3 linked regions of the Schizosaccharomyces pombe genome follow. The protein of the gene in region 2 interacts with the protein of the main gene of each other region in a biochemical or structural test. Each region holds a gene or a part of one and is shown on either strand. Other genes may lie near its edges. The genes, in order: est1, ccq1 and tel1.

What was found.
Region 1: the proteins of ccq1 (region 2) and est1 interact in a test that uses a peptide from one of them, tested with the Schizosaccharomyces pombe proteins (one study listed by BioGRID).
Region 3: of the proteins of ccq1 (region 2) and tel1, one has a biochemical effect on the other in vitro, tested with the Schizosaccharomyces pombe proteins (one study listed by BioGRID).

What each region holds. Positions count from the first base shown.
Region 1 is NC_003423.3:2,980,010-2,990,776, forward strand, and holds est1 (telomerase regulator Est1), read left to right. Parts: upstream 1-8,576; 5' UTR 8,577-8,664; coding exon 8,665-8,916; exon of another isoform or gene 8,917-8,957; coding exon 8,958-10,178; 3' UTR 10,179-10,267; downstream 10,268-10,767. Other genes in the region: yml6 (mitochondrial 54S ribosomal protein uL4m), read right to left, coding at 1-437; snr1 (mitochondrial 37S ribosomal protein mS47 ), read left to right, coding at 1,053-2,342; fib1 (fibrillarin, rRNA and histone methyltransferase), read right to left, coding at 2,755-3,672; nucleosome assembly protein Nap2, read right to left, coding at 4,700-5,839; UV excision repair protein rhp23, read left to right, coding at 6,955-7,023, 7,064-7,136, 7,178-8,019, 8,067-8,135, 8,188-8,241; myo51 (myosin type V), read right to left, coding at 10,296-10,761. UniProt on the Schizosaccharomyces pombe protein: Directly involved in telomere replication. Associates with telomerase and during its interaction with trt1, telomerase activity is promoted.
Region 2 is NC_003421.2:1,482,513-1,489,178, forward strand, and holds ccq1 (shelterin complex HEAT repeat subunit Ccq1), read left to right. Parts: upstream 1-3,627; 5' UTR 3,628-3,790; coding exon 3,791-5,998; 3' UTR 5,999-6,166; downstream 6,167-6,666. Other genes in the region: signal recognition particle subunit Srp54, read right to left, coding at 576-2,066, 2,547-2,624; ubiquitin hydrolase Ubp5, read right to left, coding at 6,422-6,666. UniProt on the Schizosaccharomyces pombe protein: Component of the meiotic bouquet that facilitates meiotic nuclear reorganization of the telomeres to the centrosome. Links telomeres to the meiotic centrosome component pcp1. Essential for the formation of normal telomere clusters during meiotic prophase.
Region 3 is NC_003421.2:1,271,298-1,282,518, forward strand, and holds the start of tel1 (ATM checkpoint kinase), read right to left. Parts: upstream 6,245-11,221; 5' UTR 6,139-6,244; coding exon 1-6,138. Other genes in the region: pdr16 (sec14 family protein), read right to left, coding at 6,576-9,602; DNA replication factor A subunit Ssb3, read right to left, coding at 10,589-10,653, 10,755-10,857, 10,921-11,067. UniProt on the Schizosaccharomyces pombe protein: Serine/threonine protein kinase which activates checkpoint signaling upon genotoxic stresses such as ionizing radiation (IR), ultraviolet light (UV), or DNA replication stalling, thereby acting as a DNA damage sensor.

The sequences.
Region 1 (10,767 bases), on a different chromosome or scaffold from region 2:
AGCAAAATCCGTGTTTTTGGTTGACTTAAGTTGATGGGATTTTCAAGGATGGTCAGTTCATTATTAATAAATCTTGTACTTAGCGCAATCCTCATTGCTAAATTATAAACTTGGGTTTGTAATTTTGTACTGAAATCTCTAGGCTTAGGACCATGTGATTTAGCACCACCTCTTCTTATAGGACTTGAGGCATCGCCTACCCGTGCATGTCCTGTACCTTTTTGTCGATAAAGTTTTCGACCGGAACAAGTAATTTCATTTCGGCGCTTTGAGCTAGCAGTGCCTTGACGGTCATTATCTGCTTCATAAATAACGGCACGATGCAAAATATCTCGACGAAATCTTTCTTGCAGGAAACTTCCGGGAATAAGAAAAAGACTCGCGGGCTCCAACGACGGAAATTTATATCGCACCAAGTGCAACATTTTTGCTGTCATTCTGATTAGTTTGTGAAATGGACGACTAGTACCTGAAGAATGGATGTATTTTACTTTCAATTAGTCTAACACAATGTACTAAGTATCACAATGCATTTCATTATAACATATTGTGCATTCAAAAGTATCGTAAAGCGTAAAGTATCGAGTTCATTAAATTACGTTGTTTTATGCAACAGGAACTTTATGACTGTATACTGTTAGATAAATTAATGATATCTCATTCATTACCTAAAATAGAAGAAATAATTATTTATACTATGTGATGTCGTACATTAAATATTTGGAATTTGCTCATTCTGACACCTTAAATTGTTGTTGCAAATAGCACCTGTGTATTACAATAACAGTTTTGAGTACTCAATGCTATGCAACAAGTGGTTTAAGACTTTTAAAATCGACAAACCCTGAGAAACTAAATTAATACTAAATATAGATTTTTTGAGACAAGTATTTGCCCAGCTAATGCATGGAAACCTACTTTGTTTTACGAATGGTCTTTTGTGATTTGTTATTAGTTCACAATTAAGAACACACTTCGTTATAAAGTAACGTAGAAGAGACGTTAACCGTCTATGCAAAAATAATCGGTGTTATTTAACTTGGTTAGCTTTCATGGGATTGAAATTAAATATCTCTAACGATTTGAAAAAATCTGGATTTATGTTAAGGCAATCCTTACTTAAAACAAGTGTGTCAAATTTCCTTTCTTTGAATGCAAGTAGCACCATGTCTAGAGCGTTTATTCGAAATCCAAAATTTTATAGCACTTCCTCAAATGATACAGTTTTATACGAGAGTAAAAATGGAGCAAGGATATTTACTTTAAACAGGCCAAAAGTATTGAACGCTATCAACGTTGACATGATAGATTCAATCCTACCAAAGCTAGTTTCATTAGAAGAATCAAATCTGGCCAAGGTAATTATTCTTAAAGGAAATGGTCGCTCTTTTAGTTCGGGAGGTGACATTAAAGCTGCAGCACTTTCAATACAAGATGGAAAATTACCTGAAGTTCGCCATGCATTTGCTCAAGAGTATCGATTAAGCCATACGTTAGCTACATACCAGAAACCAGTTGTGGCTTTGATGAATGGCATCACCATGGGAGGTGGATCTGGTTTGGCTATGCATGTTCCTTTCCGTATTGCGTGTGAAGATACGATGTTTGCTATGCCAGAAACCGGAATTGGCTATTTTACTGACGTGGCTGCCAGTTTCTTCTTCAGTAGACTACCAGGATACTTTGGAACTTATCTGGGATTGACATCTCAAATCGTAAAAGGATATGATTGCCTGCGTACTGGAATTGCAACTCATTTCGTTCCGAAGCATATGTTTCCTCATTTGGAGGACAGGCTTGCAGAGTTAAACACGTCTGATATTTCTAAAATCAATAATACAATCCTGGAATTTGCCGAATTTGCTAGCAGTTCACCACCCACTTTTACTCCAGACGTTATGGATGTCATTAATAAATGCTTCTGCAAAAATGATACCGTTGATATTATTCGTGCGTTAAAAGAATATGCTTCAAACACTAGTGCTTTAGCGGAATTTGCAAAATCTACCGTTAAAACATTGTATAGCAAATCTCCGACTTCAATTGCTGTTACCAATCGACTTATTAAGTCTGCTGCTAAGTGGAGTATATCTGAAGCATTTTACTATGATCATATCGTTTCCTATTATATGCTTAAACAGCCTGATTTTGTTGAAGGTGTTAATGCTCAACTTATTACAAAGACCAAAAATCCAAAATGGAGCAAATCCCATGAATATCACTTTAAAGATTTAGAAAACTATTTCAAGTTGCCTTCAGAATACAATAATGGGATATCTTTTGCTGCAAAAGGAAGACGTAAAACTCCCCTTTGGAATTATAAGACTTATCCTTATTTATAATCCCAAAGGTTACATAAATTAAATATTGTTCTTTATGTCTACTAAGTTTTTTCAGTATTATAATAAGATGATTTATTTCAAAGACCCTGTTATGTTTTAGCATGCGATAAAGCACATAACTCTTTTTAGCAGCTAAAAATAATGATAGCCATTTTAAATACTCATACTAAAACTCTTTTTCGGTAGCTGTGCGTACGATAGTTCAAAAAAAAGAATGCTAACGGCATTAATATATATTCCATAATTCCCATATTGGATCAAACAATGAGAAAATAATTGACAAAACTGCCAAACGCATACCCAAAATATATTTTTATTATTCCAATTGCTCACGGCCTTACCATAAGCTTTTCTAGCAAAAAAAATTATATGATAAACTAAAAAAGCATGCACTTATGGCATATATTTCTGTTTACTGATGTCTCAAGTATTTTCCTACGATGATACAGTGATCACGTTCGTAAGGCTCTAAAGTAAGTTGTTCTTGAGGTTTAATCTTTTCCTCTTGCATTTTCTTAACCTCACGAGCAAAAACAACAGCTGCATCAGCGGTAGAATCAATACAAGAAGCCTTAACAGAGATAACAACTCCACCTTCGTTTTTCAAAAAGGCGGCGGCGTTCAAAGCAACGATACGAGCCTGATCGGGTTGAGCAACGTCTGCAAAAACAACGTCAACCATTCCGACTAACATACGATACTTTTGAACATGGCGAGCATCCTCAACAATGGGGATGACATTCGTGCGCTTTTTAGCCATGTTAAGAAGATCACGTCCAGAACGATGAGAAAACTCAACAGCGTAGACAAGACCCTCAGGACCAACAACATCAGCAACGTGAGAAACGGATGTACCGTTAGCAGCACCAAGATATAAAACACGTGCACCAGGTTTAATATAGATGTTGTCTAAACCGCCCAAAATACCTGCGGCAAGTTTAGAACGGAAAGGATTCCATACACGGTATTCAACTTTGGTACCATCTGGGGAATCAACGCTAATACGTTTTTCATTGTATACTGATTCACCAGGCACCAGATTGCGGGTGACAAGCAAATCTTCTTTTCCGCGAGCAATGAAGACACCTGCATGACGATGAGGCTCAATAATAACTTTAGCACCTCCTTTGGCTCCACCACGGCCACCGCTAGAACCACCGCGGCCTCCTCTGGCACCTCCACGACCGCCACGACCGCCACGAGCACCACCGCGTCCTCCTCCTCTGGCACCTCCACGGCCACCGCCGAAACCACCACGGCCACCATTGAAACCACCACGGCCTCCTCTAGAGCCACCTCGTCCACCTCTTGAACCTGGTGTATATGCCATTATTTTTTTTTGTGGTAGGTAATGGGTCTGTAAAATTTTTAGGATAGCAGAGAGGATTACAGTTGGTGTGACTACGAACACAATTCTGCAACGCTAAAAATTTTTACGAGTTCGAAACAATCTGTAAAACCTCTAGTTAACGAAGGTAAACAACGCTAAAGCTAACTTAATGACATTAGTAGCATCGCAGTGTTATTATTTGCAGCTCATAACTTCTCATTAGTAAGGTAAACATATGTAGCAAAAGATGGGTTCCTGCTGTTTGAAAAGCAATTGTTTTAGGTCTCAGCAACAAATTAGAGGTATTCAATATAATTCTTTTGAAAGATTGGTGAAGAGAATGAATAGACATCTCTACTTGTGTTCATATAATAATTACGTTTTGACAATCGAAGTAACTAAACTTAGAGTTACAAGAGGTAGTGATTTATTGTCAGAACCGTTATTAGTTGTAGTTCTTCCAACCTAGTACTAGTTCTTATACCTTATCATATAAACTCGGTGTGAGCTAACAATGCACTTAAAGATTGTTAATTAATGTACGAACAGATCTAGCTTTGACGTATAAAATAAATAGAAAAAGCTATTGCAGATAGTTATAGTAATAGCCGCTTACTTTTTGCTGGCTGTCCGCATTATCATTTTAGAAAAGCAAATGCTAATAAATAACACCACAGCTTCAAATAATGCGCGTACTAACCTAATACTAGCTATTAAAAAAGGAACCATGTAAGTAGAATATACTCACAGAATGATAAAAAATTACTTAGTATATTTTTTATACCTGCATTGGAAAAAAAAATTCAAAATTTAAAAAGACAAGAAAACAAATTGAAATTTTAAAGACAAATCCTAACTTAGATCCGCTTATTAAATATTTTATAGGATACTACGACGTAAATCAACATTTTAATTTTTTAAGCCACAATAAACTTACCAAACTATAAGCGAAATTATCATTCAGCGTCAATTTCTCATTTTTGCTCACATTGAACTTACTCATAATCTAACGAACACAATATAAATATCAATCACTAATTTCGCTACTCAAAATTTCTTCGTCATCTGAAGACAGATCCTCCTCATCAGTATATGCGTCTTCAGAGTCTTCTTCATCCATTTGGTTAAAATCGCTCAAGTCACCTTCTTCTAAGAAACAGTCAATTGCCAAGGGTATGATTTGATCTTTAAAGACTTCTCCCAATTGATAGTCGAGTTCTAAAAGCTCTGTTTTGTCATCCAAACCATCATCAGATTCATCATCGTCCAACTGAGGAGGTGAGAAAAAGTTGAAAAAACTGTCATTAGGGACCGTAGTACGGACCAATCTAGTTTGATTTGTTTTACGGTTACGTTGTTTTTTTGTCTCCACTCTAACCGTTAAATTTTTTTCAGGCTTGATCCAATTAATCTTATCACCCTCAGCATGATCATACAAAAACTCACCCGAAGGACTTAAATCATCTTTATAGTAATAAGTTTTCGTTAAAATCTTGTTTGTAAAGTAATCATTTGAGTCAAATTCGAATTCTAGTTTGTAACCATGAACATCTCCCGAAAGGTTGGTAAAACGAATGTCGCTGAGTGATCGCAAGACATTTTCATCTTCTGGTGTTATCATTTCGCCAACCAAGAAAACATTATGAAGACAAGTCAGCCAAAATTCGGGAATTCCCTTAGGATCTGGAAGATTATTTTGAAATATTTCTTCCTCGTGATCTAATTCGTCGTCCACTGGTTCAGAAACACCCTTGATAATTTCGGCTCTTCTAGAGAAAATAGGTTGATATTTTTTCTCGTATTTTGTTTCCAGATCTAACATTTTTTGACGAAATTCATATTGAATTGCATCACAATCTTTTTGAAGGCCTTTCAATGCTGTAATACGATTTTGGACTGCTGGCGCAAGGCTCTCTATATATCCCGACGACTTTCCAACCAACGAGCTAAGGCGTCCCTCAATCATTGATAACATGGCCGGATTGTTGCGCAATAACCCGCTAACTTCATCATGTGCTGATTTGTCCTCCAGTTGTGATTGCAAGGTTTGTCTAGCTTTTTCTAATGCGGCCTTACTAAGATGTACATCTGAAGATGGAGTATTTTGTGGCGTTTGAGCAGCAAACCCATTCCAAGACTTCTTAAAATCTCCTGGACCTTTAGACATATTTTAATAATGCAAACGGAGATTAAATTAAATTGGTAAAGCTTCGTTGTTGGACTGTGGATCTTCGTGAAGTCTACCAAAGAGATGTTGGGCCTGACTCGTTATTGCAGCTTAGCATATTTTAATGATATGTTTACAGCATTTTTCGTATGAGAGTCTTTAATGAAATATATTTATGTGTTTAGCGGCTATCATAGTTTGGGATAGTATTTGGGGTTTTATTTGGAAGAATATGTAAAATTAGAAAGCATCCGGAAGTTTACATATACGTTGACTTTTTTCTCTCCGCTTTCCTTATACTTTCTCTGACAAAGGTAATGGATTGTATAAACCAAAGGCGCTGCTTTCAAATTCTGATGTAGCTGTCCAAATAGCTAAAAAAAAAATCAATGAAATAAACAAATGTATATATCTCGTTTAAGCAAAGTGTCTACGCTATTCATATTAGTTTAACATATGTATCGTATCCCAATTATTAGTTGAAAATTCTATAAAAAATATATATATATGGATACTGATTAATAAACAACTCTACGTATCATATACTTCTATATTCATGAGTTAAACAACCTTATTGTAGCATTTGTTTACTAGTTAGTTGCCCACGGAGGAGCGAAAAACTATCGGAACATAATTCAAAAGTCAAACTTGTAAATAAAAATCTGCTATTGTAACGGTCATTGCTAACTTAAATAAACAAATCATAATTAATATATATAAATTTATTAGCGATCGTTCTGTAAATAAATAGAAAATGAGAATGAATAATCCAACAGAAAAATATATATATATATAGTAAATTAAAGAATAAAGAATAAACTAATACACTGTATTGAGTACTAATGGACTTGGAAACGAGGTAAATGTTTCACTCACAACACTTTCAAACAAATGAAATATTTTCTTACATTAAATTTTAGGTTCAAATAAACCAAACTGTTTTGCTTTTTAGATTTTTCATTCACATTTTATGATAAACAATGCGATGATACCAAATAATGTTACTTGTGTATGGTGTTTGTTTGCTACCTTGACAATTATTCTCTGATGCAACGTTTTTTCAAAGAGGTTTTCATTACTATACATTTACCCACTACGCCAAATTTGCTTTGAAAATGAATTTGACATTCAAAAATCTACAGCAGCAGAAATTTGTTATTTCTGATGTTTCTGCAGATACCAAAGTATGATAATTGTGGCATATTATTTTTCTAACGTAAACAGATTTCAGAATTAAAAGAAAAAATTCAAACGCAACAGAATTATGAAGTCGAACGTCAAAAGTTAATTTACTCAGGTATATAACATAATTTTAATATGTAAAATACTAATTTATAGGTCGAATCCTTGCTGATGACAAAACTGTTGGCGAATACAATATAAAAGAACAGGATTTCATTGTATGCATGGTTTCACGACCCAAAACTTCCACCTCTACTCCGAAATCAGCTGCCAGTCCTGCCCCCAATCCTCCGGCTTCCGTACCTGAAAAGAAAGTTGAAGCTCCTTCTTCTACCGTGGCGGAATCTACCTCTACTACACAAACTGTTGCTGCTGCTGCCCCTTCAAACCCAGATACTACTGCCACTAGTGAAGCACCAATAGACGCCAACACATTGGCAGTTGGTGCTCAACGAAATGTTGCTGTCGAAAATATGGTAGAAATGGGATACGAACGCAGCGAAGTTGAAAGAGCCATGCGTGCCGCTTTTAACAACCCTGATCGGGCAGTGGAATACTTATTAACTGGTATTCCCGAAGACATTCTCAATCGACAGAGAGAAGAGAGTGCTGCAGCCCTTGCTGCTCAGCAACAGCAAAGCGAAGCCCTTGCTCCTACTTCCACTGGCCAGCCAGCGAATCTTTTTGAACAAGCTGCTTTATCAGAAAATGAAAATCAAGAACAACCTTCTAATACCGTTGGTGATGACCCTCTAGGCTTCCTTCGTAGCATTCCTCAATTTCAACAGCTAAGACAAATTGTTCAACAAAATCCACAGATGTTGGAAACTATATTGCAACAAATTGGGCAGGGAGATCCTGCATTGGCTCAAGCTATTACGCAAAATCCTGAAGCATTTTTGCAATTATTGGCGGAGGGTGCCGAAGGCGAGTCTGCCTTACCTTCTGGTGGAATTCAGATTCAAATTACTCAAGAAGAATCTGAGAGTATTGATAGAGTATGTTATTTCTATTTTTTTGTTTTAACTATCTAACAAGCTTTTAGTTATGTCAACTTGGCTTCGACAGAAACATTGTAATTCAGGCTTATTTAGCTTGTGATAAAAATGAAGAGGTGTGTTTTTTTTTTTTTTTTGATTTATTGAATTATCAACTAACAATTGTAGCTTGCTGCTAATTACCTTTTCGAGCATGGACATGAATCTGAGGATGAACCTTAAAGCGCGCACCTTATAAATTATTGCTTTTCGCTTGAAAAACGCCTAAATGGCAACTAATTCAGCTCTTTATTGCTAGCATTTAGTTAAGGATACGGAATATTAAACAAAACAATGATATTTTTGTAATTGTTGAGTACAGGGTTGCTCCGAGCACAGCACATAAGTTGTTTTCAATCATTTGTCGTACATGTAAATATTATATATATACATATATATATTTTTTTTCCCTACTATTTTATTTGATAGAACCATATTTTTCTTTCTCTAATACTGAATTGTCATTACGCTTAGGGTTTTTGCATAAGATATCAAGTAGGAAGAAGTCAAGTGACTTAAGTGGTCTAATTTCCACGCTCAACGCTGCAGAAATACGTTTTTGATAATTTTTTATATTTTTCTTAAAATGTGACGATATTATAATTAATGTCGCAACAACTTTCAAGTAATGAAATTTGTGAAGAGCAGGGAAAGCTCGTCAAAGCGCTGTGTGAAGCAGCTCAAGGAGGTTTTAAGCATGATTTATATGAGAAAATTATAGCAATTGAAATTGAAGTTGAGAAGAAACTGTTAAATCGTCTAAAAAGTATTCAAACAAATACTTTTGAACGTCCAGATATTATATGGTCATGTTGCCATTATAAAATTATTCAACATTTTAGAAGTAGGTTTAGAGAGGTGAGTAAAAACTAAAGTATGGGACAATTATTAATTTTAAGATACATCCTCGACACGTTGTTGAAAAAAAAAAGACAAAAAAGGTTTTCTTTAAATTCTTGAAAACGTGTGCAATCTTTTACCAGACTTGCATAAGTGAACTAATATCTAAGTTCCAATTGGATTCATACAGACCGTTTTTTTGTAAATGGACATCATCAGCTACTGTTTCTTCGACTATTTCAAACGATGAAATGTCATCAATTCCTGAAGCTTCGTATTCAAGGAACCATATGGAGGCATTAGAATGCGTGTATAATTGTTTTATATATTTAGGGGATATGGCCAGATATTCTTCTACTTGCCTCAAAAAACGCGGCGCATATGATAGAGCTTTAGGGTTTTATGATTTGGCTCATCGAACATTACCCGGAAACGGAATGCATAGGAATCAAATTGCTGTTGTCTGGGCATCCGATGAATGTATAGTGGAGTCTATTTATTGGTTTTCATCGGCTTTATGTTCTGAAGACCCGCCCAAGAGTGCTTTGTTAAATTTGCTTAAACAGTTGATTGCATTTTACAGACGCTGTTTCGCTGTCCATTTTGAATTTGTATCACCCATGATGATTTTACTTTTTATTATATCCGACTGTTGCATACATTCGTTAAAAGAAATTCAGCCTTTTAAATGTCCCTCAATCATGGTCAAGGATTTGGAGAATTCATTATTACAGTCGAACATCAGAAATGTAGGATATGAAAAAAAAAATCTTTACTACATATCATCTGCCTTTTCAAATCTTTTACACTGTCGTTATTTCAACTGTAACGATCGTCTGAGAAGTTTCTATTACCGATTTTCTTCTTGGTTATTTCATCAAACGCTTGCTTGTGCTAAAGAAGTTGAATCAGAGCGTGCTCCAACGTCTTACTTAACTTCCTGTTTACCAAGTATTAAGGTGATACTAGCAAGGGTGCTTGAAAGTTCTCCAGCTTTTGGATTCATTGAGCGGAACGAATTAGAACAATTGAGTTATCATTTCAGAATTTGTGAAAAGTTTTTTAAAGAATCTTCAGAAAATAAAATGTTAAACCTTTTTGAGGACTACAATGAATTCGGATTATGCAAATCTTTCATTTGTTTATTTAAAAGATTGAACGAAGACATTATAGGGCCAAAGTTAAATATAAACCCACCCGACTATACTACTCATCCATTTTCGGAATCGATCAAACGATTTTATCAAATATCCAAAATACTAAATTTATTGCTTTCCTGAAGTTACTATATGATGCTTTGAATTAACAGAGAATGATAAGAATATAGTATTAATGAGTACTAATATAAATTAAAAATATTGATCGGGTGTAACGTTTAATGATACTTGATAAAAAGCTTATAATGTAGCTTTAGCCAATAAGTTTATCAACTCTGAAAGTCGAAGCTCTTCGTATATATGATTATTTTCAAGTGATAATAAAGGGTTTTTAGAAGCAGCTATAGGAATAGCGTGCCCATTAGTGTTTGTGATTTTACCATTTGTAAAACCAGATTGCTTATACTTACAAGATAATGCCTCTACGGCTTTTGAAAAGGATTTTGGTAGAGGATTTTCACCAGCGCATGGCTGATACCTATTTAGGAGGCATACAACTTCAAATGGCGAAAGTAAATTACAAACAGAGAGAATAACATCCAAATCGTTTGCATCGTTTTTACGAAGGCAAAATACCAAAGGAGACTGCATTAAAGGCAATAGTGACGAGTTAACATAACTAATACCCTTTTGATGACACCAGTTAATCAACAGCGAGGCATTATAGGAAACCTGAGAAGCAGATTTCCAAGTGTACGGTGACCGGCTAGAA
Region 2 (6,666 bases):
TAAGTTCATCTCTGCATTCTGTTCAAATATAGCTTCCAGTTGCCGTTAGTTCTAATTTATGCTTTCTACGTACAAGCCTTTTGGCCTATTTTTAGGTATCCTTCATTGTTCAAACTAGTAATTAGATTAATAAAGCACAAATTTGAAACTTTCAAGAAGCTTTTTCATGTGATTGCATAGAATGAGAAAACCCAAAACTTAATCCTAATCGGCTAAAAAACTATGTTCTCAATACACTACCATTATTAATATACAATAAATCCAATTCTCATTTTACGAAGCAAGAGCAATTAACATAAGCTAACCGAGCTCTTAAGAAATCTGCAAATAATTGTCGAGAGCAATCATACAAGGATGCTTCACGTTTACGGTTTAGCAAACTTTGCTAGCTCTTCAGTAGAAATAGAAACAAATTTTACACAATTATAAAAGCAAACGTTAAGTAATTAGGGAAAGAAAAAGGAAAACGAGAAGGACGATGAATTTTTAATGCATATATTTTTATAAAACAGTAAATAAGGTATTAGAGTAAAATATGCCATATGTGAGTACATTATAATAACGAGGGAAGTAAACTAACGTCTTCGAGGAGGCTTTTGCATATTTTGAAATTGATTGAGCATACCGCTGAAATCCATACCACCTGCCCCTCCGGGACCTCCGCCTCCCATCAACATGTTAGCCATTTTTGAAATATCACCAAAGTTCATAGAACCTGGATTGAGGCCAGGCATTCCTCCCCCCATACCCATGGCTTGCATTCTTTTCTGCATAGCTGCAAGTTGACGAGGGTCTTTTTTGAGAGCTGCGGCTGGATTTCCACCAAGTTTACCCAAAATTCCATCTTTTCCTCCTATCTTTTTCGCCATTTGCGCAAATACTCGGACCTGAGAAATGGTTTCTTCTACCTCTAAAACGCTTGTACCACTACCCCTTGCAACACGTAAAACACGAGAGGGTTGTTCAACAAATAGAAGACCATCCGAATCTAACTCTTGTTCGGTCATTGAATCAACGATGTAGAGCATACGCTTCATACGCAAAGATCCCTCCTCATCATTCATACCGTTCATCATATTACTCATGCCTGGAATCATACTAGCCATTTTACTAAGTGGTCCCAATTTCATAATATTTCCGAGTTGATCTCGAAAGTCTCGGACCGTAAACTTTCCTTGCTCAAGATTTTTAACCATATTCTTTTTATCAAAATCTAAAGACTGAACGTGTTCCATCAGACCTTCAAGATCACCGAGTCCGAGTAGCTTTGAGATAAAAGAACGTGGAGAAAAGCGCTCCAAATCATTAATATGTTCACCGGTACCAATGAACACGATGGGTGTCTTAGTCGCAGCCACGGCGGATAAAGCACCACCACCTTTGGCATGTCCGTCCAATTTTGTGATTATTACAGCGCCAAAGTCAGCAGTCTCTTTAAACGCTTTGCTTTGAGATTCGGCAGCTTGACCAATGCTAGCATCTAAAATCATAATTGTTTGATCTGGGCGAATAGCGTCTGAAATTTCCACCATCTCAGCAAACAACTCCTGCTCCTGCTGATGCCTACCAGATGTATCAACGATGATAACGTCAAATCTATCGTTTTTGAACTTATCAACACCTTCCTTGGCAATAACGACTGGGTCAGTCTCGGTGTAACTACCAAAGTAAGGAACACGTGCTTTGATAGCATTCTGCTTTAATTGATCAAAAGCACCAGCACGGAAAGTATCGGCAGCAACCAAACACGATTTCAAACCTCTCCTTTGGTAGTGCAGAGCAAGCTTTGAGCATGTTGTCGTTTTACCACTGCCTTGTAAACCTACCATCATGATCACTGAAGGTCTCCCTTTTTTAGGAGTAAAAGCATCAACTTTAGGGTCAACCAAACTGCAAAGTTCATCAAAGACAGCCTTCTGGACGATTCGCTTCCCATTTATACCCTGAGGCAAAGTTGATACATTGATTTTTTTCTTAATATTTGAACGTAATTCTTGAACCAATCGCACATTAACATCTGTTTCCAAAAGTGCCGTACATATATTTTTCAGCAGAGTATCGACAAGCTAAATAAAATTATTAGTAAAGGTTCGTATTAAAACGATAGATATCCTAATCAAAACAGAACATTGGGAAAACAAACTAGAGGTCATTAAAAAAATCTTCAGCTGCCTAAAAGTTGCTTGGTAAGTAAACCCTTTTAGTAACTTGAAACCAAAATCTAACATTGCATTATTAAAAAGGGTTTTAAATTTTCATGTCAAGGTAACGTCGATGTAAACGAAGATAATCCCAATATGCAATCAAGATATATATATATAAGAGATTGGATAAACCAGCTACGCAACTAGAAAAGCATATCTGTGGTAGATGATTTTTCTTATCGACAAATTTCGTAAAGCATGAAACGATGTTCATATACAGCGTGTAAAACATGGCAAATGCAAAATTTTTGAAGAAATCAAGCAAAGATGTATTAAATATTTTTATAAATGACATGGCTCACTCTCCGTATGAGAACAAATTTTCGATAGAATAAAACATACCTCTTCATTCACTGAAGTGGCCTTAGAAAAGTCCCCTAACGCAGAGTTCAAACGACGCCCTAAATCTGCAAAAACCATTTTGTCAGATTAAAAACTTCCAACCAGGCAATTTGAAGTTCGTCAAATGTGGTTGGTAGAGGATGAAGTCGTTAAGGACATGCAGTGTCTTCAAGCGAAAAGTCAATAGACAATTGAGGCAATATGATAAATGCCTAAAGATGAAGTAAAGAAGAGTTTGATATTATCTTTTTAAAAAATATTTTCACTGAGTTTAATACCGAGTTATTTCGCCTGCAAGCTTTTTATTGTTTTCAGTATAGGTGATATATCGACAGGATAGCGCAGCACAGCATTCCTATATAATACCTTGTTTGTATAATATTTTAGAATTAATCTATAGCAAAAGTTCAGTAGGTATAATCTTAAAAAATAAAATACTTATTAAGATTATACTCATGTGTAAAAGTGTTTGACTAGGTCCTGACAATTATTGATGCTTCTCTTTCTCACATTTGTAATAGAAACACGAATCGTAAATTCCGTGGTGGCTAACTTTGTCCCACAATCTTTTGATTCATACTTGCTGTAGTTTGTGTTTTAAGACGCTAATAGAAAAAGATCTAAAAGATTGATATTTGAAACTTTTTATATATTTTTCAGGCGTATGTTCTTATTCACCTTAAACTTTTTTGGAATTTTTCGTGCGTTAATCCAGCAATTAGTCTTAAGATCCAGTTTTTCCAAACTTCACGAAGGAAAGCACTTCCAAGTCCTTATAAGAGCCAGAATGAATTGCAATTAGCTGTTTTTTCAATATAAGACTAAAGATAAAGAATCGTTAACCCCTTAACACAAAATTTGAAAAAGAAATAACATTTACTACGCGTTATGGGTGAATAGTTATATTTGTTTACATAATAGACTTAAATAGAGAGGTGACGCGTTACTTTATTAAAATAAAGATTTGTTATATGAAAAAAAGTAATTAGAGCTCTTTTAAATGCTGTAAACATTTTCCGCTACACAGTGTATTTCGTAAAAATATGTACAAATTTAAAGGCGAACACGGAATTCTGGGAACAACATTTGGGTGGTTATTTGTAAAAACGATAATAAAAGACTCTTTTTAGACCATCTAATTCCTCTAAACGTGCGAAAATTATTTCTTTTCGGACGCTAAATTGGTCTCGTGTTGCAATATTTAAACATTCAATTTCTTGTTGAATTTTAACGTGGATGGCAGTATGAGCGAAATTAACGACTTTACGAATTCAATTATTATCAATGAAAGTGATACGAAATACGAGGTTTACTCTGAGGTGAATTCCAGTAATAGATGGATTGCCAAAGAGGATTGCCCTAGCCCGTTGGAAGATGTATGGCTTCTAAAATTAGCAGGCCATAAGAGAAAATTGGAAGAGCCTCTAAGTTGCATGCGTAATGAAGAACCTGCATCCAAACAAAGAGAGATAGAAAAATTTTTACGGACTGATTTGGATCACTCTGAAAATGACTTTTTAACTCAAGAGGTCGATGAATTCCCTTCTACCCAGCAGTTATTTCCTATTCCTTTGCAAAATGACACTGCCTTTGATTCTTCGGAAGAATCTATTACTAAATCTTCTAAATCCTCGTTCAGCGTGCTAGATATTGGCCTTCCAATGTCTGCGCTTCAAAGGAAAATGATGCATCGGTTGGTTCAATACTTTGCCTTTTGTATTGACCATTTTTGTACTGGTCCTAGCGATTCAAGAATCCAAGAAAAAATACGTCTTTTTATTCAATCTGCTCATAACATTGCAAAGCATCCTAGTCTGTATGATACTGAAGTTCGAAATCCCTCCGCTGCTGAATCCACTAATTCCCACGTTTCTTTAGATGCTTCTAATTTCTCTTCATATGCCGAAAATTCTTCAAAATTTCTTTTTTTGCAAGAATTATTCAAAAATCTTTCCCCCTCTTATTCTAAGACATTTTTTTTATTTATCTCCAACCAATTTCTTGCAAACACACTTACTCAATGGCTAAAATCTCAAAACATTGATGCTGAGTTATGGGCTGAAGAGGATGCAAAGACTAGCCAACATCCAGCAATTTGGATTTGTGTGTCCAAAAAGGCTCCCTCCGCTTCTCATTTTCTTCAATCTTGCCCAGATTTGAGTGCAACCATTTTTTATGATATCGAAGCATACATGAGTGTCACTAGTTCCTTGCCCTCTATTCAAAGCCTTGTCCTTAGGCTCATTCACTTGGGATCTATAGAACATGCCATAAAATGTTTTCAATCATCTTACAATGCCTCATTTTTAGTGAACATTGTGGGTGTGGTTGCCACTCTTAGTTCTTCTTCCGAGGAAAATTCAGAAGCTTCAAATTTGAGCACTTTGTTTGAGAAATCTGGGAACTTTGAGGAAATCCTAGGCTCAGAATCTCACTCTTCTATTACAGAAAAAACTCGAGATATTGCTAAAAATGTTGCGACCTGGTTAAAAAATGGAGAAAACTTCTCTTCTTGGCCACTACCTCCTCTAATGGATTTAGCAAGCTTATCGGTTGCAGAACCAAGGGATTCTCAGCCTTCTGTTTCTCAGGTGAACGATACTTTTGTCAAATCATCTGATAGTACATTTCCTTCGTCGCAAAGCATGCAATCACCTTCCAAACTCCACTCTTTAACAAGTAATGCCACCGATTTACTGTCATCAAGCTCACTAAAGAAAAACTTTTTTTCTCAACAGGAAGCTGATGAGGTAGAACTTTCCAATAATTATGATCTCCAAGGTGCAGCTGTCCAATACCTGCAGCGTCGTTTAAGAATGGTAGAAGATGAATTACACGAAGCCATTAATTCCAAAAACGTACAACAAAGTCGCTCAGAGGAGTTGGAGCAGCAAATTTCTAAGCTGACGGATAATTTACAAGAATACAGAAACACTGTTCGAGAGCTCAAGCTGGATTTGGAGAAATCGAAGAAAAAGAATGAAGACCTTTCAAAGCTAGAAGTTGAGAAGGTTGAAGAAATCGCAAACCTTAAAAAAGAGCTTACCCACTTAGCTAAGCAACAAGAATTTGGCTTTAAATATGTACAAGAATTTTCGAATGAAGATCTACAAGGCAAATTAATTGAAGCCAACGAAAAAAATTACAAACTTACTCAACTGTTAAAAACACAGAAAGAAGACGCTGATTTCATTACTAATCAATATCAAAATGCATCTACTTTTGCTGCTGAGCAAAGCAAAGAGGTTGCGAAACTTCAAGCTGAATGTAAGCGCTTACAAGCTATAAATTCTAAAGTTATGGAAGAGGTAAAAGTTTATAATGATTCAAGGGTAGAAGCATTACTCGCTAAGGTCTCTTCTCTGGAGGAGACCTTAAAAATTTTAGAGCAGAAGTCTCTTCCCAAATTTACTCCACATAATCAATCACCAAGGATTATTGATTCTAACTAAATCATTAACGATCAAGAACTTCAGTGGAATCAACTATAAAAAGTTCGTTTAGTCATACGGTTATTTGATTAAATTATGTCGTAATCAGCTTTTAATGAAACAATTTTAATTGTATTAATTTTTCAACAGTTGCAAAAATATATTGGTTTTCTTCATATATTCATCAAGAAGTTAGACATTTCGTTACATACTAGATTCAATGATCTATGTCATTAATTTTGAATTTGTTTTTGAAAGATTTTAATTGTATCAAATTCGAATATGCATCCTCAAAAGATGCAATATCAACATTGATGAAATAATTTTTTATGCTTCATATCATTTTGTTATGCTCGCAATATCGAACCTGTATAAAACTTCATGCACCTTATGCTCAACAGGTAAGGACCAAACAACCAGCAAGGATTGTAAAGCCTTTAAATACTAATTTTTCATCTGAATAGCACGGTCGAGTATATTCGGCTTCTTACTATCTTTCTTAGCACGATCCAAAGCCAATGTACCGTTTAGTTTTTCAACAACATCATATGTAATGTCTTCATCATTCAAATAGACAACTCTATTGTTATCAAAATCCACCACACAGAATTTAATAACGCTGAAAATGCTTTCTGGATACTGTGTGCGAGCTGCAAGACGTAGTTTTGTATCGATGAATTTTTCCTGGG
Region 3 (11,221 bases), 210 kb from region 2:
CTTTAAGAGTTCCAAGATATAGTACTTGCGAAATGAGGCTAGATCGTCAGACAAGTCCAGTTGTTTGTGTGACTGTAGCAAGGAAAGTAGGACGTTTCTAATTTCAAGTAATAACTGAAAACATTCATGTAACTGTGATGACATTTGCTTATTCTCCTTAAGCAATTGAAGGATATCACAATTAAACTGAGACTGATTGCATCGTATTAAAAACTTCAAATCATAAGCCAAAGCATAAAATAGTAGACTATCGGGTTCCTCGTTGGGATTAATTAGTAATAATTTTTTGTTAATGTATTCTTCGAGGTGCAAATAATTACCGTAAATAGCGTAGTTATGCACTGCATGTAATACCTCAAAAACCAAACAATCCTTAGTAGTCTTATTGTCCAAAGAAAGTGGAGGGATATCCCATTTTTGCATCCGCCAAGCAGAAGCATACACTTCGTTGCTGCATTCATCAATAGCATCATTGGCTTTGAGTGAATCGATGTAAAATTCATTCAAGCTAAAGAATCCAGCGTTATTAAGAGTATTTGAAAACATCATCTTAGTCCCCTCATCTTCATTGCTTCGATACATATTTGCAGCATCGAGGTACGAAATGGCTAATGGGCTCCGCTTTTCATGCACCGCCTTGAGCAAAATATTTTTGAAGCTAGTTTCGCGTTTTATTCCGTAATAAGCATCCGGACAAGGCAGTTGGGAAAGAATGTCCGATAAAAGGGTGATGTCCAATTCATCTGTTTTTGTATTATGTATTGTCAAGAAAAGTAGACTCTGTTCATACAAATGGCAATCATAAGCAGTTGATGCTGCAACACTGTAATTAATGGGAACCCAGTAGTTTGCTTCAAATGGATTAAGAGCATGATGCCCTAATTGCCGACGAAGGTATAATAAAATATTCATGCAAGTCTTTCGAATACTATTTGTATTTTTATTTAACAAACCAGATAAGATCAGTTGTGTTACATACTCCTTTTGCTTTTTGTTGTTACCATTAAAATCAAACTCCAACAGAATCAAATGTATAATATATTGAATAATTGAAGTTGAAAACCCCACCATGTAAGTACTCAGCAATTTTAGAGAATGTGTTGTTGATGATTTTCCCATCATATTTAATAATTTCAGCGTCTCTTCCTTAGTCCAATTTGACAAAGAATCAAAATTTGTGGGTTGTAATTTTACCCATTGAAAAGAACCTTCCTCAGAAACAAGAGTCTTGAAATCACTATCGTAGATGATACTATCTTTTGGAAAATTTAAAAATTTTCTAAGCTCTTGGTGATTACCATTTTCAAAGAACATCCTAATGCAATCCTCAATGAATGAATCTAATAAAATGTCATATTTAAATAAAAGAGAACATGCTTTTTGACATATCAATTTCCAAATAATAAGTTTTGATTCTTCATAAGTTTTAGTATCGCATAATCGAGGATCGGTTTTGGGTATATAATGATTGAGATCAGCAATTTCCGGAGATTTGAAAAAATTCCAGCCCATGATGTCTGAAAAAAAGAGCTTCAAAGAGTCAGGAAATTCAGTAATATCGTATGCTTTGTAACATTTCCAAATTTCAAGGCTTAAGGAGTGTAAAACATTTCTGGGACAAGCATCGAGGACTTGCCAAAAGTAGAGACAAAGATAATTATTCATTGCGATTCTCTTAAGAAAGTGACCTCTTTCGAACAGTTTATTTGAAACCTCTATCCATTCATTTTTGGTTGTCATCACTGAACGTACAAAGTTTATTTGACAGCGTAAAAATCCATAACCTTCATACTCAAAATTTAGTAAAGCAGTAACGTAACCATCAAACCAAGTATAAAAATCTTGGATAGCCTCCATCTTCGTACCAATAGTGTTGTAGCAAAAACCCAAAAAGTCCATACAGAATTCGGCTAGTTGAAAGAAATAATCAAAATCAGTAGGTTTGAATTTTTTCAAATGAAAGCGCGCAATTCCTAATCCTAGTGATTGGGTACAAGGTATTGAGAGTAATTGTCTAGCTATCCTAAGTACTATCATTACCAAATAGTTTGAAGTGATAAAAGGATCAGAGAAACATAGAAAAGCACACAATCTAAAAGAAATAGTAACTTGAAGTTCTTCATCCGTCGCAAAGTGTAGTTGTATTGCAAGTCTCCTTAAAACTAAATCAATGACTGAAGGGATAGAGGAGAAGCCCTCTAATTCTTGGAAGAGTCTATTGCAATACCATAACACAGATTTTGTAGAAAAGAATGGTATCGCTGTGCTATTGTTAAAAGAGACGCGATTGGCAAAAATTGTTAATTGTGAGTACACCTTAAACGAAGTTGAGCTTATAGATTTAAAAGTAGAGCCTAATTCTTTAACCTCTTTAAGCATCTCTAAGCAGAACAAAAAAGCTTTGGAGCGGTTGAGTAATTCCACATCAAGTGCTTCATCAATAGAATTAAATCTCAACGAATACTTTTTATTCTCTACTTCACTTAGATGAGTATAAGTTGTTATAACAGGGATCAATTGCGTATACTTTTCAGAAAAATCAACAGACATGCGTGAAGTAATGAGTTTAGCCAAGGTTATATTCTTAGTCAGAATAAGAACAAGTATAATTTCGTCGCTGTTTTCTTTTAAAAAATCGGAAAGGCTGAAATAAATTGGTTTGTAGGGGAATTCTAGAAAGTCATTGGTTGTATTAGAAAGATCTTTGCTGACGAATGACCAAAATATCTCTAACCTGTATATTCGAAACAGTTGCTTAATATTTGCACTCTGAATGTGAAGCTTACGAAGCAAAGGTTCAAAAATAGTTGACGTTTCATAGCTGTTTGCAAGCTTAAGCAGCTGATACAACAATGCTGATCGATTGGAACTTATTGACAAAAAAACCTTTAAAGTCAAATATAAATAGCAGAAGCCTTTATACAATGACTTCTCAATTTTAATGCTTAAAATTGGGAGAACAAAACCTTCAATTAACGTTTTATCACATTTTTTAAGAAAAATCACCAAATCGTCAACAAAGTTATAAATAACACAAACATCAGAGTCTTTAAGAGTTAAAGAAATCAATTTTTGATAATCGAATTTTGAATAAACGTGAGATGTAGGGGATAACTGAAATATAAATTTTAAAAAAGTTTGTCTACCAGATAATGATGAAAATTTAGTCTCAATAAAAACCTTTTCAATGAATTTTGTAATCTTCACAATAAGTTTCAAAGTTGCGTCCGTGAACTGAAGTTTAGAATGAACACATTTTTGAAATATTTTAATAAAAATCATTAGATAGACTTCGTCTCTTTCATAATCATAATTCATTAAAATTTTTTGAGCCAGTATTTCAAGACATTTGTAGAAAATAGGTTCGGATGTCCGCGCAACATCTAGGAAATATGCACCAATTGCAGACATACCAAAACAAAAAGTTTCAATGGGATACAAATGAAGAATATTAATTAAGCTGTCATGAGGATGACTAGAAAAGTAGTCGATATATTTTTGTAAAATAAAAAGATCAGTATTCCGTATTTGCTCAAGCGATCCTTCCATCAAACCAAGTATTTGATGATTCCTGATTAAATTTTCTGGCCGATAAATATCTTCTTCCTCCTGGGAGAAATACTCATCGTGATCAAATTCTTGAGGCTTTATGAATACGTTTTTAGAAGCCATATCCATTATATAAAGAACCAAGGTTTTGAGCGGATTACTGTCTCGAAAATGAGTTGAACGAATTAAGTCGCTTCCAATTTCATACCGAAGATGTTTTGGCTCATCAGAAATAGTAAACTGCAAATTAGTAGAGATGCAATTTATTATTGGGTCATAACTGTGATTAGACTTAACGAAAGAAAGGACTTCAGGGAATAAATTTTTAAAAATGACAAGATTGTTAGGAGTAACATTATGAATACCTTTTTTCTGGATAAAACAATTTAGAAAGCCACATAAAAATGATATCTGAGAAAATATCATAACTGCTTCGAAGCTTGGGGTTTCCTTGTCAAGCTCATCTTTGTCATAAGATGCTGAGCTAATTTCGTCTATCGAGCTCTCCAACATTTTAATGACATTTTGCAAACTATCACAGTCAATAGTATGGTTACTATTGAAAGGATAGCATCCTTCTGTAGACTGTTTACATATTTCGTCAGTAGTATAAGGAAAACGAAGCGTAACAGGCGACCATGCTTCTTTGAGGTGAAACAAATTACGTTCGAAAGGTGATCGTATTTCTGTGGTGATATAAGATAATGACAACGGTCTATAGAAGATCATCATTAACAAATCAAAAATGATAATAGAAGAATCGGTAAATGAGAAAAATGGTAGTTCACCCTCTTTGCTGAACAAATGATATAGATGCCACTTCAACCATTTTAGAAACACAGATTTAAAAGAGCTTTGACCAACAAATAGGTTTTCATTAAGTAATATGTACAGAGATTTCCAGTAATCAATGGCTTCATATGAAAGCATTGGCGAGTAATCATTAAATAAAATAAACTGTTGCTTTATGAAAGGAAAAATGCTCGCGAAGCACAAAGGCCGATACATGTTAAAATAAGTTAAAATTTGATAGCATACAGGAGACGTAACAGAATTCAGGAGACCACGAGAAGCAGCAGCCAAAATTTCCTTTTTACATGAAGTCGTAAGCATCGAAGAGTAAGCTTTGTTGTAACAAATGTTGAACAATATAAAAAAAGACCAGCTTTGAAGTTCATTTTTTTTCTCAGTAAAGTTAAGACTCATTTTTTGAATTGACAATAGATCATCGTTTGTTAGATTGTCAGAAATAGCAGTGATAATTACCATGAGTTGCAATGAAAAAGAGGAAGCCGAGATATTGGCTAGCTCAGCTTGCAAAAGCAGTTCCTCTATTTGAGAACATGTTTTCTGCTTTTTGTTGGCTTGCTCCGTGCTTGCTAAGGACAACACGGTTTTTTTGAGGAGAATTAGTTTTGCAAGAAAAAAATAAATAAAGTAAGATTCAAAGAAAGAATTATGTCTAAGAGAAAAAAAAAGGTGTAGCCGTGGATCGTAAAGTTTTGCAATGTTGTTCTTAGGCTCAACTGTATGGAATCTAAAATTCGCAAGCGATAATGAGGAGCGTTTTCCAAAAAAATTTAAGAAATTTTTTAAAGAAAAAAACGAAGAGTTAAGAAGATCTAAATTAAAAGATCTAATGGAACGATGGGGATCCCATGTTTCTGAATTGGACCAAAGTGGATAAGAAATGGCTAAGCATTGTATAAGCTGCAATCTTAAATCCAGACGCTTCCATTTATCAGAGTTTATAAGAATCTTAAAGACTAATAAAACAACGCTTGCGGAATAATCATTACAATTGGGGATCGCATATGCACATAACTGAAACAAACACTGCAAAGCTGGTAGATGCGCATCTGTTTCTTCCGTGTAAGCATAAAAAAAGAACTCAAAAAATTTCAGCAGTTGCTCACTAACAAAATTAATTGGAGCCGCATACCATTGAACAAGAGAACGCATAACGTAAATGAGCTCAACGACTTCTTGCTTTACTCTTATAACATCGTGCGATTTCCAGATAGATATTTCTTGATAGTTTTTTTGGCTTATTGGCTCTTCTTCACTATCACTAACATAAGTTTCTTCAGCTATACTTAGTTTTTCAATAGCTTGACAACAATAGGAAACTAGTGATTGCCAATCCGAGAAACGAAGATGATGCAAATGAGGAGAATGGGATAATAGTAGCCGAAGAGCCTTAGAAAAATTCAAACAGACTACCTCACATATAGAACCATTAGCTGTGAAAGTATGTCTTAGAATTATATCTAGAAGCGCTAAAATATGAGGCTCCCTAAATAATAAAATATAAGATTCAACACATGTTCTTAACAAATAGCTAATATCTTGAAGCTTCTGCTCTTGGGAAGCTTTGGAAATTTGACGTTTACCATGATTAGCAGAAATTTGCCATTCAAGTTCGAATGCTCGCTTTATGGCCTTTTCGATTATTAAAGCATCTTCCTGATTTAGCGAATTTCCATTTCTGGAGTAAATTATGTAGCTGCGAAGATTTTGTAGAGCATCTGATCGTGTTTTGATTTTTGATGAAGACAACTTATTAACGATGTCATTTAGAGAAGTCATAGTATTACATCGAGTAAAAGTTATCTTTTCTTCATTAATATATTAACATATTTGGCGTAAACTGATAATTGAGTAAAAGGTTACGCGTCTCCAACTTTTGGAATTTGGAAGGTTCATTTAGCGTGTACGAATTTTACAGATGCCAAGTTATAAATTGAAGTGTGGTAATTCTTCTTATTGAAACTAAAAAGCACGAAACTATCAACTATATAAGAAAAAAGGAATTAAAACAAATGATCTTCTTTGGAAATATCAATGACTCTACTGTTAGCTAAATATGTACAGTAATAGTGGATTTTCTTTTTTCAGCACCGAATTATTCAAAAGCCCTCTATTAAAAGTTTTCAAGGCTGTAAAAAAAGAAATCATAGAACTAGCTCAATTGCGAATAAAGTATAAGAGAAAAGAGTGAAGAGGTTTCGAGAGCTTAAGAAAAACTATTCTATGCTATCCGCGGTGATAAACGAAACAGCGTCGCTAAATGAAGCCGTAGAAACATCTCGTGCATGCGAAAAAGCTGGTGTTTCTGAAACACCGGAACCAGATTTGGGAAGAAGATCATTCTCGGCATCGAGCCCAGCATCAGCTTTGGTGGATTGAGCAACAGGAATAGAGTCCTCCTTTTTTGTAACAACAGGCGTCGATTCCTCATCTTCAACGATAGAAACAGGCCCCTCATCTTTGACAACGGGCTTAGGATTCTCAACTCGTCTTTTTTGAGGAGAGAGCTCATCAGCACTATTGGTTAAAGTCTTTGGCTGTCTATCAGTATTTACAGTTGGAGTAACAGTTGGAGAAGATGAACGATTTGTCAATGAAGGACGTACATACTGTTGCATTAATTCAACATATTCCTCTCCACCCTTCAAATCCCATTCGCTTGTACCTATTTTAGATCCCATCTTCCTCCATTTTTCCAAGATGCCAAGACGACGTGACTTGCACAATTCCACCAACTGGGGCCAGTACTTCTCATGATGATATTCAAAATGAAGAGATCCACCAAAATTCGAATCTAATTGATCCTTAGGGACATAACGATCCAACGGTTCATTGAACTTTAACTTCTCTCGTGTAATAGGGTCAATAAATGGAGATATCAATTTAAAAAAACCCCATACAGCCCAAGGAATATTAATAACAAGTGCTCTTCCAAGACGCTCACAATAATGAGTTTGCAAAATATTCAGTACCTCTTTACCTTGACCAACGCTGGGATTTGAACGATTGGACGAAGACTTGAAATTAATCAACAAAGCCAATGTCTCTACTCCTGGAGGCATAAGATCAATAGCACACTCCAATGAAAAAACCAGATGCCGAATCTGCAGTGGTGAGGTTTTAGTGTTTTGCCTAGCTGGATATAGGTATAAACAGGGACGACCGTCCTTGTCGTAACCTAGCAATACTTGCTTACCAGTTGCATTCTCCTCTTGGATTTCATCAGGATCCATATTATTAACACCGAAGTGACGACGCCATACCAAAGTATCAACAATACGCTTTTTTGCATTGGAAACGTGCCATTTAGTAGCACGCAAATATCTAAGGATGCATTCGCGTGTTAGCCAAAGACGCTCCAACTCAATCAAATCCGTTTTCTTGCTAGAATTAGACGCTACAGGAATCTCTTTTAATTCCAAACAATATTTAAGTACTTCTTCATACATTTCTTCTTGTTCAGAAGTCAAATTCCGATAAGTGGGAGCCATAGGACAATTTGCATCAGGATAAGGAATTGGTGCATTCCAAGTACCATCAGGATCTAATTCCTTAGGGAACTCAAAAGATGCTTTAGACTTCAAGGCAGGACTGTTCTCATTTGCTTTAATTGGCGATGCTACCGTTGACTTAGTAGAGATAATAGTAGATTTATTAGGAATGTCAAATGATGCAGCTTTTTCTTGAAGCTTTGGAGCAGCTTTAGCAGATGCTGCTGGTAATACCTTATTAGGAGTAGAGGGCGCTGTACTGCTGCGTCCACCTTGGAATTTGGGAGCCACCTTGGGACTCATCGCTGGCAACACTTTACTAGGGGTGGAAGGGGCTGTAACGCTATTGCCACCCTGGAGCTTCGGGTTCATTTTAGGAACTGTACTTGGTGGCACTTTTCTAGGAGTAGAAGGTCGTGTGTCAGATATACTTTCGCTATGCGGTTCCGGATTTACTTTAGGACTAGTGGTAGTTGGCAACGGCTTTCTCGGAGTAGATGATTGTGTCTGAGAGTTTTCTACCAAGGATGCTTTACTGGAATTATCTTGACTTGAGGGATGATCTGAGCCGGATTCTGGAATTTTGTTATCAGTGCTCAACAAGCTTGGGGGGCTATTTTGCACCACCTTCTGTTTATAGAATTGGCTAGGAACGATAGTGTCATACGAAGAGACAGATTGTCTTTGGCGCTGCATTGTCCCAACGATTCCTTCAATGTCTCCTTCAGAAGAATGGAACTGAAAATGCCTTTCATCAGTGAGAGGGGCATTGGAGGCATGTTCAGTTTTCATCGCATCCTCAGTCACGGCTTTTTCATCTGAAATAAAACGACTAGAGTCGACGTCAGTTTCTTTAGCGGCTTCATTTACCGAAGCATCGCCTAAAGAGGTATCTCTTCCGTCACGTTCCAAATCACCAACAACAACTTCAACGTCTCCGCGAAGTGAATGAAACTTGTAATGCTCTGTGTTTGTAAGCGAAATTTTGGTATTTTCATCACAAACAGCTTTTTCAGATTTTGCAGGGACATTAGCAGATACAGGATGCTCAGTAGGTTGTTTTTCATCAGAAACCGTCTCACTGCTATATGCTACTGCATCCGGTGATTTTAGCGGATTATTCGCAATATTTGGATTAACTTTCTCAACTCTTTTTTCAGATTCCGTAGTAGAATTAATCTGATCGACATTAAGTTTGCTATCAGATTTAGCAGCAGCTTCATCGACATTTATTTTATCATTCATATCTACATTAAGTCTGGGTGTATCTGAATCATCGGGTGTAATTTTTGGTTCAGCGGCAGAATTACCTTCGGAAACATCTACCGTTGGAGCTGAACTACTCATGGCTGCATCATTAGCTTCAGCTTTATCAGATTGGACCCTGCGTTGAGCGACCTTTCTTTCACCTTCAGCATTACGAGTTTTTTGGTTAGCTGCTTGAATATGCTGCAAGTTGACTGTATTTCTCATCTTTGAGGCAGGAGATGAAGAAGACCCTGTTTTGGTATGTACAGTAGGATTACCAACAGGTACAGATTTTCTGACCTCGTTCGAAGTGGAAGATGTGCTAACATTAGGGCGAGCAGGACGCACATTAGAGGCGGGTCCTTTGGCAGCAGTATTTTCTCTTTCATGAATACTGCTGGTATTGCTTTTATGCGATTTTCCTTTTGACTTGCCAAAACCAAGTTTATGGAGAAACTTACTAAAGCCGTTGTGGCCATGATGGTGATGTTCCGAATCTTTCATCGTGGTTTTGTATCGATAAAATTAACGAATGTTGGTTTTGAATAAACTATTAACAGTTTAGATTGCAAAGGGTATTCTTTTCACCGTAAAAGAAGAAATATCAAAGGAAATTAGAAATAATGGAATTAAATGAAAAAAGGTATTTTCCCAAGACTTAAATTACTATAGGGTTCGAAATACTTAACTCTTTTCTTTTTTCTCTATTTTTAGTAAGAGATCTCGATGGTTTACCATGAATTCCAGGATATCTTTTATCTCTGTTTCGACCAATTTAACATGCAAGCAAGTTAGATTATATTCAAAGAAACGTGTCTGATCTCTAAAGATAAGGCGCAGACAGAAATGCAAAGAACAAATGTCAGATATATTTAGAGTATTTCAATCGGAGCAATTCCGAAACAATCCAACTTCTGCATATGCACGTTTTCTAACGTTATTTCTCTAACAATCTCAATAACTGCTAAACAACAGTTTTAGCAAAAAAGTTTGTAAAGGAAAAAGTAATATAATAATTCTCAAAACAACCAATTTTCTTTAGGAATAAGCGATATTCAGCGTAGTACCACTAGATATACTTGCGTTGCTCGCTTTGTATATATATGGTAGTTGGATTGTTACAATGGCAGGGTGACTGAAGGATGAGCAAACGTAAGAAACACCGGTATGTACCGTCTTCGGAGCCGAATCGTCCGCGATGAGCATCTCAAGGATACACTAAATAAGATAGTGCGAAAAAAGGAGAACGTTATATAAAAATACTCAAACAAGAATCAAAAAAAGTGAAATAAACGATAGTAAAATTCATATTTGTATTAGCCAAAAGGAAGAATCATTATAAAAGAAAAGCTTGAGTTTAGAAATGCAATAAAATATGCAAAAACCAAAAGAAGGAAGCAAGATTCTGCGCGTTTATTCTTCCATGTTTATTTGTACTGTGCATGAGAAATGAAAGAGAAATCTGTGTTGTATGATCCATAAAATGTTTCTTATTCAAAAAAAAGTGAGTTATACTTATGACTGAATAGAACGAGTTTCTGGTATACCTCCATATCTAAAGGAACAGGAAATTAGTTAATCGGTCAATAGAATGTAGGACTTAGCAGAAGCAGAAGTTCAAAGGACTTCCTTATTATTTTTATAAACACAACTTACCAATATCAGTGCCAAAATCAACACAGGTTAAAAGCTGCACCGAAGAATCTGGTTTGACAGAAACGACAAATTCATAGAAATGATTGGGTTCAAGAGTGTTATCCTAAAATTAGTTAGATAAAATAAAAAAACTCTGAAAACCGATTGTAAAATAGATAAAACGTACCACAGTGAGGTGCATATCGAAAGAACCGTTGGAATCGACTTTTGCAGTTTCACCTTCAACTTGATTCGCCTTGCCAACAATCCGAACCGTTTTTCCAGAGCATTCTGGTAGCATATCTTTCGTAACTCGAGGTGTAGGGCGTTCCATATTATTTTATACGCGTTGTTTATAAAGTGGTGGAAGTGAAGTATGTATCAGACCAGGTAGTTAACTACTTGTTGACACGAATTATTTAAAATATTGGAACGCAGTACGTTATGTATTATATGTTGGAAGGCGCTGGGATGTAAATAAAAAAGCA